Linked DNA regions of Caenorhabditis elegans. The protein of the gene in region 1 purifies or fractionates together with the protein of each later gene. This does not show direct contact. Each region holds a gene or a part of one and is shown in the gene's direction. Other genes may lie near its edges. The genes, in order: cbs-2 and fbxb-112.

Region 1 (5,969 bases):
GATGATGGAAATTTGACGGAAAAATGTGGAAATCGCGAAAAATCACCGGAAAATTGTGAAAAATCGACTGAAATTCGATATTTTTATCGTTTCTTCAACAATTTTCCATTGAAAAATCGATAAATCATTGATTTTTTGCTATTTTTCAATGAAAAATCGATAATTTATTGATTTTTCGTTTAAAATAGCGAAAAATCAATGATTTATCAATTTTTTTGTTGAAAAATCAATAAAGTATCGATTTTTCAAAAAGTATCACAAAAAGGACATTCGATTTTTCAATTGACAATTTTTAAAATTCGCGCAAAATCGACTGAAATTCGATATTTTTATCGATTTTTCAACAATTTTCCATTGAAAAATCGATAATTTATCGATTTTTTGCTAGTTTTCAATGAAAAATCGATAATTTATTGATTTTTCACTCTTTTTCCGATAAAAATAGTTTTATTATTGATTTTTCAGTGGCAATTTTCAAAAAATCGCAATTAAAATGTCCTTTTTGTGATACTTTTTGAAAAAATCGATACTTTATTGATTTTTCAACAAAAAAATTGATAAATCATTGATTTTTCGCTATTTTAAACGAAAAATCAATAAATTATCGATTTTTCATTGAAAAATAGCAAAAAATCAATGATTTATCGATTTTTCAATGGAAAATTGTTGAAAAATCGATAAAAATATCGAATTTCAGTCGATTTTTCACAATTTTCCGGTGATTTTTCGCGATTTCCACATTTTTCCGTCAAATTTCCTTTTTTTTTCTAAAAAAAAACGTAGAAAATCTATAAAAATTGATTTTTCAAAAAAAAAAAATTTCTTCGAAAAATGTTAATTTTCAGCCGAATTTTCTCGATTTTCCCCCGAAAAAAAAAAGCTCATTTTTTTGCAGAGCCGCTCGTGGCCAATTTGGTTTGGATCAGGCGTCGGTTTGGGCACCGGATGGTCGAATTGCCGTCACGATTTCGCTTCGCCGTACGTTTTGCACGGAAAACGTGTTCCAGCTGGACAGGATTCGCAAGGAAAACCGGCATACAATATTATCACCGAACAACACAAGCAATAGAGAAAAGAAGAGATAAATTTTCGATTTTTTTGAGATTTTTTTGAATTTCCGCCCGCCACCCCGCTTTTTTTTGTTCTCTCTTGTGTCGAAAAATAGGAAAATGTGTGAATAAACTTATGAAAAAATATCGATTTTTTCGGATTTTCACATGGAAAACGGAACATTTTCAGATTTTCAGATTCAAATTCGAAATCCCCGCAAAATTTTGAGCTGAAAATTTAGGATTTGACTAAGAAAATAGCGAGGAATTCGAATTTCGCATTAAAAATGCACAGAAATTATTCGGAGCTCTCAAAAAATGAGCAAATTTTCAGAAAACGGAACAAAAATTTTGAATTTTGACGGGTTAACCGAAAATTTGAAAATTGCAGTTTTCTATAAGAAAAAAAATCGGGAAATGGATGGAAAAGACAGATTTTTCATTTTTACATCAAAAATTTAAGAAAATTCTGTTTAAAACTGCTAAAAACCGATTTCTTTGCAAAACCCTGTTAAAATATGATTATTTCCAATTTTCGAGCTCAAATTCGAGTTCCCCACAAAATTTCAGGCCAAAACCCGAAAACTAGAGGTTTCTAGTTCAATTTTGAATTTTCCCGGATTACGGTAGCGCCAAAAGTACGCAAACACCGACTACCAGTACTTCTACAGTACCCCTATATTTCTAAACCCCTGCAAATCTTTAAAATACGCCTGAAATCCATGAAAATTATAAAAATTCGGCTGAAAATTGTGAAAATATCCATATCACGTGTAATTTAAATAAAAGAAATCAATGAAAATTTAATTTAATTTTAAATTGATGACGTGTAAATGATCTTTCAAAAAAGAAGAAAATTTCCGTATGACCTCCCGTGTTATTGTTTTCCACATCCTTATCTCGTGAATTTGATCAGTTTGGAAATCAATCAATAATCAGTTTCAACTTTTTGCCCGACTGGAGGATGTGCCTGCCTACCATTAAAGCATTCAAGACAATTCTGGACGCCGGGAGCCACCGAGCAACTCAACTGGTGCCGTTGAAGAAGCTGAAGGCCGAGTTTCAGCTGAAAAGTGATATTTGTGAGTTTCTATGTTTCAGAAAAATCTGAAAATTTCCAATTTTCAGATGTCAAACTCGAATATCTCAACATCTCCGGGTCGCTGGAAGATCGTGCGGCTCACCGAGCATTTGAGGTGAGAAAACGGAGAACAATTGGGAAATGTCAATTCAAAATTCGAATTCCTTGCAAAATTTCAGTCTGGGACTGCAGAAACTAGCTGAAAATCGCTTCATTTTGAAGAATTTCCAGCTTCGACCGCGACGCGGCCGCAACGCGCGGAAAAATTGCCGAATTTCTGGTTTTTAACCGAATCTGGTCGATATGGGGTTTAAAATTTAGCAAATTTTGCGGGAAATTCGAATTTTTTAGTTAAAATTTTCCACATTTCCGGGAATAGTCACAAAATTATAGGTGTCAGTTAAAATTTTTGGTCACAATGGACTAAAAATAATTTTTACCAATTTTCGCTGCTAAATTCGAATTTATCTTAAAATTTCAGTCGGAAAATCGAAAACTAGAGGTTTCTAGCTCAATTTTGAAATTTCTCGGGGTACGGTAGCGCCAAAAGTACGCAAACACCGAATTTCACGCGATTTTCGAGTTTTGAGCTGAAAATTGAGTTTTAGACTCAGAAAATGGCGAGGAATTCGAATTTGATAATAAAAAATCCCAGAAAGTAATCTAAAATCTCAAAAACAAATTTTTTTAATTGATTTTTTCTTTTTCAGATGTCCAACGGAATCCAACGAGGCGACGAGGTCTACGTGACCGCCGGCGGATCATCTGCAGTCTCCTATGCCACCGTGGCAGCCGTCAAGGGGGTCAGACTAACCGCCCACGCACCTCCCGGAGCATTCGACCAGGTCAGGACGATTCTGAGCACTTTGGGAACCAAGATCGTGGAGCTCCCGGTTTCAAACTTCCGAGAAGCTCGGCTCCAGGCTGATCTACTGGCCAAGCGTCGAGGTGTCTACAATCTTGATGGGATCTGCGAGAAAGCCGCGTTTCTGGCGAATCTTGAAGGAACTGCACCGGAGATTGAGAAGGCTGGGAAGACCAGTGCAGTTGTGGTACCCCTGGATGCTGGTGGAGCTTCAGCGGCAGCAGGGATCGCTGCTTACTTCTTAAAGGATCAGAAGACAACAGTGGTCGGAGTGAGATCTTCAGCTTCAGCTTCAGCTTCAGCTCCAGCTCCAGAAACAGAAGTTCTTCTGCAGAAGTACAAGGTGGAAATCCGAGATGCTCCTGAATCCTACACCTTCACCAGACACCTCATCGAGACGGAAGGGATCATGGCTGGACCATCTTCCGGAGCGGCAGTGCTGGAAGCCATCAAACTCGCCAAGGATCTTCCAGCCGGGTCAGTGGTCGTGGTGGTTCTGATGGATGGAATCAGGGACTATCTAGATGCTGATTGGATGAAGGTGAACGGCAAGAAGCCTATCAAGCCTCGTGAGATCTTCGACCCGAAGGTGCTGGACTACGATCCGACGAAGATGGTCGGGGAGTGGAAGAGTTCCAGCAAGTTCAGGTAGGTTATAGGATCTGAGATTTAGCAGAAAATTTGATTTTCAGGCCGGAAAGACCACTGGTTCTCGACTCAGTCCTCGATGCGATCGGCAAGACGCCACTGGTGAAGCTTCAGCACGTTCCGAAGGCTCATGGAGTCAGGTGCAATGTTTGTGAGTTGGGAATTCCTCTGTCCGGTCTAGTCTAGTCTAGTCTAGTCTAGGCTAGTCTAGTCTAGTCTAGTCTAGCCTAGCCTAGTCTAGTCTAGTCTAGTCTAGTCTAGTCTAGTCTAGTCTAGTCTAGTCTAGTCTAGTCTAGTCTGGCCTGGCCTGGTCTGCCAAAAATCCTCATCTTGGACAATTTCAGATGTCAAATGCGAGTTCCTCAACGCGGGCGGCTCCACCAAAGATCGAATCGCTAAGAAAATGGTCGAAATTGCTGAGAAAACCGGCAAACCCGGAGCACTCACCCCCGGAGCCACCACCCTCATCGAGCCCACCTCTGGCAACACCGGGATCGGCCTATCCCTGGTCGCGGCGGTCCGTGGCTACAAATGCCTGATCACGATGCCTGAGAAGATGTCCAAGGAGAAGTCGACGACGCTGTCGGTGCTAGGATCCACGATTGTCCGGACTCCCAACGAGGCGGCCTTCAACAGCCCGAGCTCTCACATCGGAGTGGCTCTTCGCTTGAAGCATGAGATTCCGGGTGCGGTGATTCTCGATCAGTACTGTAATCCGGGGAATCCACTGGCACACTATGAGGAGACTGCGGAGGAGATTTTGTGGGATATGGGGGATCGGAAGATTGATCTAGTGGTGAGTAGGAACTTCGGATCAAGCTTCAACTGTTACTCTTACAGGTCCTTGGCGCAGGAACCGGTGGTACCATCACCGGAATCTCTCGGAAGATCCACGAGCGCCGTCCCAACGCGATCGTCGTCGGCGTTGACCCGAATGGATCAATCCTGACCGGCCCGACGACTGGACCCGCTCCAGATTTCTACGAGGTTGAAGGGATCGGCTACGACTTCATCCCGGGGACCCTGGACGAAAAATCAGTAGATTCCTGGCTAAAATCTGATGATAAGGAGTCATTCCTGATGGCTCGAGAGATCATCAGAACCGAGGGGATCTTGTGTGGAGGATCGTCGGGATGCGCGGTGCATTACGCGTTGGAGCAGTGCCGGAAGCTGGATCTGCCGGAGGATGCGAATGTCGTTGTGCTGCTTCCAGACGGGATTCGGAATTATCTGTGAGTTGTCTGGGCCTGGGGCCTACAAAATTAGGCCCAGCTTGCTTTGAGGTCTATTTGCTGTTTGATCTCTGAAAATTGCGGGAAACCTATAGTTTTTGTCGTTTTTAGAGGTCAAAATACTACTCTGTAGCCCCGAAAGCCAAGCTTAAACATAATTTTTCAGCACCAAATTCCTCGACGACGACTGGATGAAAGCCCGCGGCTTCTTGTAAATTGTGACCTAAAAAAATACTTGAAATTGGAATTATGAACTGAATTTTTGACATGAATGAAGATTTTTCTCTTTTTAACCGAGTGCAATCGCGCTCCATTGATATTTTTCCAGATAATTGGGCTTTTTTCCCGAGTTTTTTGAGATATAACCGATTTTTCATTAAAATCGATGAATTTTAGTGGTTTTTGCATTAAAAATGACCGAAAATGCATTTTTCCAGCAATTCGCCCTGTAAAATTAGTGAAAATATGGATTTTTCGTCATATTCCCTGCAAAATAGACAACAGAAGCCATAATTCAAATAACAGAAGCCATATTCGCCGTCCAGCTCAATCGCGCTCCACCGCACCACACTCAAATCCCCCTGCCACCCCGGCACGCGAAGGGGGCCCGGACAATGAGACACCCTGCACACTTACTCTCGCCGCCTCTCGCTCTCTCCGCTCTCGCATTTTCTATTGATTTTCCTCTTGTTTCCTCGAATTTTTTAGTATTCTAGAGCAGAATTTGGTGTTTTAAATCAATTTTTTTATATTTTAGAGCTCGAAATTATGACTTCTCTCGTGTTTAATGACAAAATGATGGCGGAAGAGGGTATGATGGTTCCACAAGCGGAACAAGTGAGTTTTTTGTGAGAAATGAATTAATATCGAGATTTTCCTGTGAAAAATGCTCAAAATCATAATTTTTAGGAGAAAATTTAAAAGAAAACGTCAAAATAGGAAATATTCTGAGCTTGTTATAGGAAAAAAAACCGTTAAAAAAAATGATTCCACAGAGGTTTTTTTGCTGATTTTTATCGAATTTCGGCCTAAAATTTCACTAAAAATTCATTAAACCCCAAGATTCACTGATAAAATTTTGAAGAAATTGCGAA
Region 2 (3,922 bases), 1.3 Mb from region 1:
GACTTTTTTCAATGAAAAATCGAATTTTCGTTGACTTTTCATTAAAAAATCCAAACGCATTTTTTTCCACTAAAATCTCGAAAAAGTGTCATATTGCACCATATTGTTTCCACATTCATATTATTTTGAGCTAAATCAGGTGATTTTCTGTATTTTGATACTAATTTCTATTTTTAGAAAAAATGTGGGAACAATATGGTGCAATATGACATTTTTTCGAGATTTTAGTGGAGAAAAAATGCGTTTGGAAACGAATTTTATAATAAAAAGTCAACGAAAATTCGATTTTTCATGGAAAAATAGGGAAATCGAAAACAAATTTGCTTTTTTTTCAAAAAAAAAAACGGAAATTCGAAATTTTTCCGTTCTTTCAAAAAAAAAATCGATTTTTTTGGAAATTTTTTTTTTCAAATTTTTAAAAATTTCCAGGAAGGACGTGAAGCTCTGCCAAAAGCCGCCTATCAATACGGAGTCAAAAATGGAGAAGGTGGCCGAAAGAACAAGAAACAGTCGGCAGTGTCGGATGCGAAGCGGCTCGATCGGGAGCTCAATGAGATTAACAAGATTATGGATAAACGGAAGGCCGGAGGAGATGGAGCCGGTGGTGGTGGAGATTATAAGAAGCCTAAATATTGATTTTTTTAATGATTTTTATGAATTCTTTGCTTCTTTTCCGTTCGTTTCAATAATAAATTTTACTCTAAAAAGTGATTTTTTAAAAAAATCTTTTTAAAAAAGTTGCTCTGAAAATGATAAAAATCGAATTATTTTTTTCGAATTTTTAACGGTGCAAATGCGCTCCACAGCAAATCCGGAAAACGCCCCGCCCTCAAAGCATGGGTCTCGTTAGGTATAAGCCGATATAGGTAAAGGGATAGGTAAAGGGATAGGTATAGGTATAGGTAAAGGCATAGGCATAGGCATAGGTATAGGTTTTGGTATAGGTATAGGTATAGGTATAGGTATAGGTATAGGACTAGGTATAGGTATAGGTATAGGTATAGGTATAGGTATCGGTATAGGTATCGGTATAGGTATAGGTATAGGTATAGGGATAGGTATAGGTATAGGTATAGGTATAGGTATAGGAATAGGTATAGGTATAGGTATAGGTATAGGTATAGGTATAGGTATCGGTATAGGTATAGGTATCGGTATAGGTATAGGTAAAGGGATAGGTATAGGTAAAGGGATAGGTATAGGTATAGGTAAAGGGATAGGTATAGGTATAGGTAAAGGCATAGGCATAGGCATAGGTATAGGTTTTGGTATAGGTATAGGTATAGGTATAGGTTTAGGTATAGGTATAGGAATAGGTATAGGTGTATAGGAATAGGTATAGGTATAGGTATAGGTATAGGTATAGGTATAGGTATCGGTATAGGTATCGGTATAGGTATAGGTAAAGGAATAGATATAGGTATAGGTATAGGTATAGGTATAGGTATAGGTATAGGTATAGGTATAGGTATAGGTATAGGTATAGGTAAAGGGATAGGTATAGGTATAGGTATAGGTATAGGTATAGGTATAGGTATAGGTATAGGTATAGGTATAGGTATAGGTATAGGCTGGCCACGACGCAAATACCTCCTCGTGGGAAGTGTGCGGGAAGAGATCATAGACTATTCCTACCATACTGCGTTACATACGCGGTATTAAATACCAACTATCGATCATTCAGCCATTGTCTTTGGCTGCCATTGTGCTCACTTGTTGCTCAGCAGTCTTACTGCAATGTCTGTCGTCTCTTTTTCTCTTCTACGTCTTTCTAAAAAGGCACTGGATAATGTAACGAAGCACTTGAAATACATTAAAATGTAAGTTCGTAAGATTTTTTTTCTGTAAGGTTATGGTTAGGCATAGGCTCAGACCTAGGTTTAGACTTAGGCTTAGGCGTACCTGGAAACAAAATTGAATTTTCACAGTTTCACACGTCTTTTTCACAGTAAAAGCTAGTTTTTTAAATCATACCCGACAATTTTACAGTTTGTCGAAAAATTGATATCGGCATGCATTTTCTTAATTGTTTCAAATTTTTGTATACCAACGAGTCCGTTTCTCTTTCGGATTTTTTTTGATTTCTTACTAACTAACTGACTGATACTCAACAAATTATTAAAGGTGGAGTAGCGCCAGTGGGGATTTTGTCTAAATGCACTCATAATGATCCAAAACAACCGAATTTCATAATAAAACACTTCAAAAATTTTTCGATTTTTCACAATTTCCGGTCAAAGTTTTGGCAAATTGTCAAAATTTTGAAAAATACTAGCTTTTGAGGAAATTTAAAGAAATGTCGCATGTTTCGACCTCTACAATGTTTTAATACAAATAATTTTAACAAAATTAAAACATAAAAAATGTCGAAAAAAATTTTTTGGTCGACTTCCAAAATTATGAGTGGCAAAAACTGAATAATTGCCACTTTTTGACAGTAAATAAAAAATTTTCAAAATTTTTTGAAAAGTTTTATCATGATATTTGGTCATTTTGGGACCAAAGGAGTGGTTTTTTTTTACTCCACCTTTAATAAACCTAATATCGGAGACAGTTGATGTAAATATTAAATATTACAGTGACTTCTTTTCAGAATCGGACTAACCACGCTCTCCAAGAAGACGTCAAGGTTGTTTAGACTCAATTACAAGGAGGCTCGAATTTTTATTGATATTACTGAAACAATTAATATTTCAATTCGAGATCCATCGAAACATATAACAAGAAAGTTATTGAATGACGGCGTAGCCAATCTACATGACTATCGGTATATGGGACCAACATGGACTGCTGAATGGGTTTTAAAACATTTCGGAATACGGGATTGGATGGTTCTCGTTAAACAGCTGACTGGCCAGGAAGAAATTGAGAAGCTTTGTTTTAGAAAAAACCACCAAAACTACTCAATCGATGAATTCAAGAAGTTTTTCGAAGGATTCAAAGTATCATGTTTATCAATTATTGATCCATCATTTAACTCTCATGGTTTGATTCCCTGCTTTTCCCCTGAAAAAGTGATGCACTTGACTATCGAAAAAGCTTCTAACTAATCGATTCTCGCAGCAAACTTCGAAACCCTAGATATTCACGATGATAGCACTTACACACTGAACGATGTATTGGTAATGAATAGCCCGAATATCTTAATTTCTCTGGGAACACTGTCTGACGTTGAGCTCAACCTGTACTTGAAGCATTTCATTAAAGGCTCAAATCCGATGCTTGAGTTCTTGTTTTTGCTTTACGACTTTGATGATCAAATTATGAAGGAAGATGTTGTCTTCAAAGGAGTTCCTTATACAATTTTATCGCAAAATCTGGAATCATGTTACGTCAAAAAAGAGACTGGTGAGGAAGAATATGTATATGGTGGATATGAAATAACGAGAGATGATGGTAAAATGGCACTTGTTCATATCAAAAAAACGACGCTCATTTATCGAGTTCAAAGTTATTCTTGTTGGTTTAACTGAACGGGTATTACGGGACGGGCGTTATTGGCGGAGATTATTCTGACCAGGGACTCTATTTTGGTGACAAGAGAATTATGTGTCGAATGATATATTTTCTGAATGCTAATACAATGAACATACCGAATTCAAAATAAAATCTTGCCCAAATTGATGTTAAAACAATTTTTTTTACTTCGAATGCGTATTTAAGCCAAAATGTCGTTGTTTTTGAAGCTTCAGATATCGATGGACTTGGAAGATACAAGAAAATAGTCAACAGACAAAATATTAAGAACAATACGAAAATCATTGCAAAATATAATGTGCATTTAAAATGTTAAAAATTAGCATAAAATTTCATCGTCTTATGAGATGAATGAGATCGTCTTTGAAAGGAAATAGAAAAATTAAAGTGTTCATAATAATATAATGATTTTCGTATGTATTGTTCTTAATATTTTGTCAGTTGA

Evidence for each region.
Region 2: the proteins of cbs-2 (region 1) and fbxb-112 fractionate together in Caenorhabditis elegans (co-fractionation; one large-scale study listed by BioGRID). This does not show direct contact.

What each region holds. Positions count from the first base shown.
Region 1 is NC_003280.10:2,219,585-2,225,553, reverse strand, and holds cbs-2 (Putative cystathionine beta-synthase cbs-2), read left to right. Parts: upstream 1-1,986; 5' UTR 1,987-2,013; coding exon 2,014-2,131; intron 2,132-2,177; coding exon 2,178-2,245; intron 2,246-2,840; coding exon 2,841-3,643; intron 3,644-3,687; coding exon 3,688-3,794; intron 3,795-3,987; coding exon 3,988-4,439; intron 4,440-4,483; coding exon 4,484-4,875; intron 4,876-4,921; exon of another isoform or gene 4,922-5,041; coding exon 5,042-5,090; 3' UTR 5,091-5,158; downstream 5,159-5,969. Other genes in the region: F54A3.5 (MICOS complex subunit Mic10), read left to right, coding at 896-1,069; Y59C2A.3 (Trichohyalin), read left to right, coding at 5,644-5,712.
Region 2 is NC_003280.10:3,489,442-3,493,363, forward strand, and holds fbxb-112 (F-box domain-containing protein), read left to right. Parts: upstream 1-1,655; 5' UTR 1,656-1,737; coding exon 1,738-1,820; intron 1,821-2,593; coding exon 2,594-3,050; 3' UTR 3,051-3,142; downstream 3,143-3,922. Other genes in the region: Smu-2 suppressor of mec-8 and unc-52 protein, read left to right, coding at 430-636.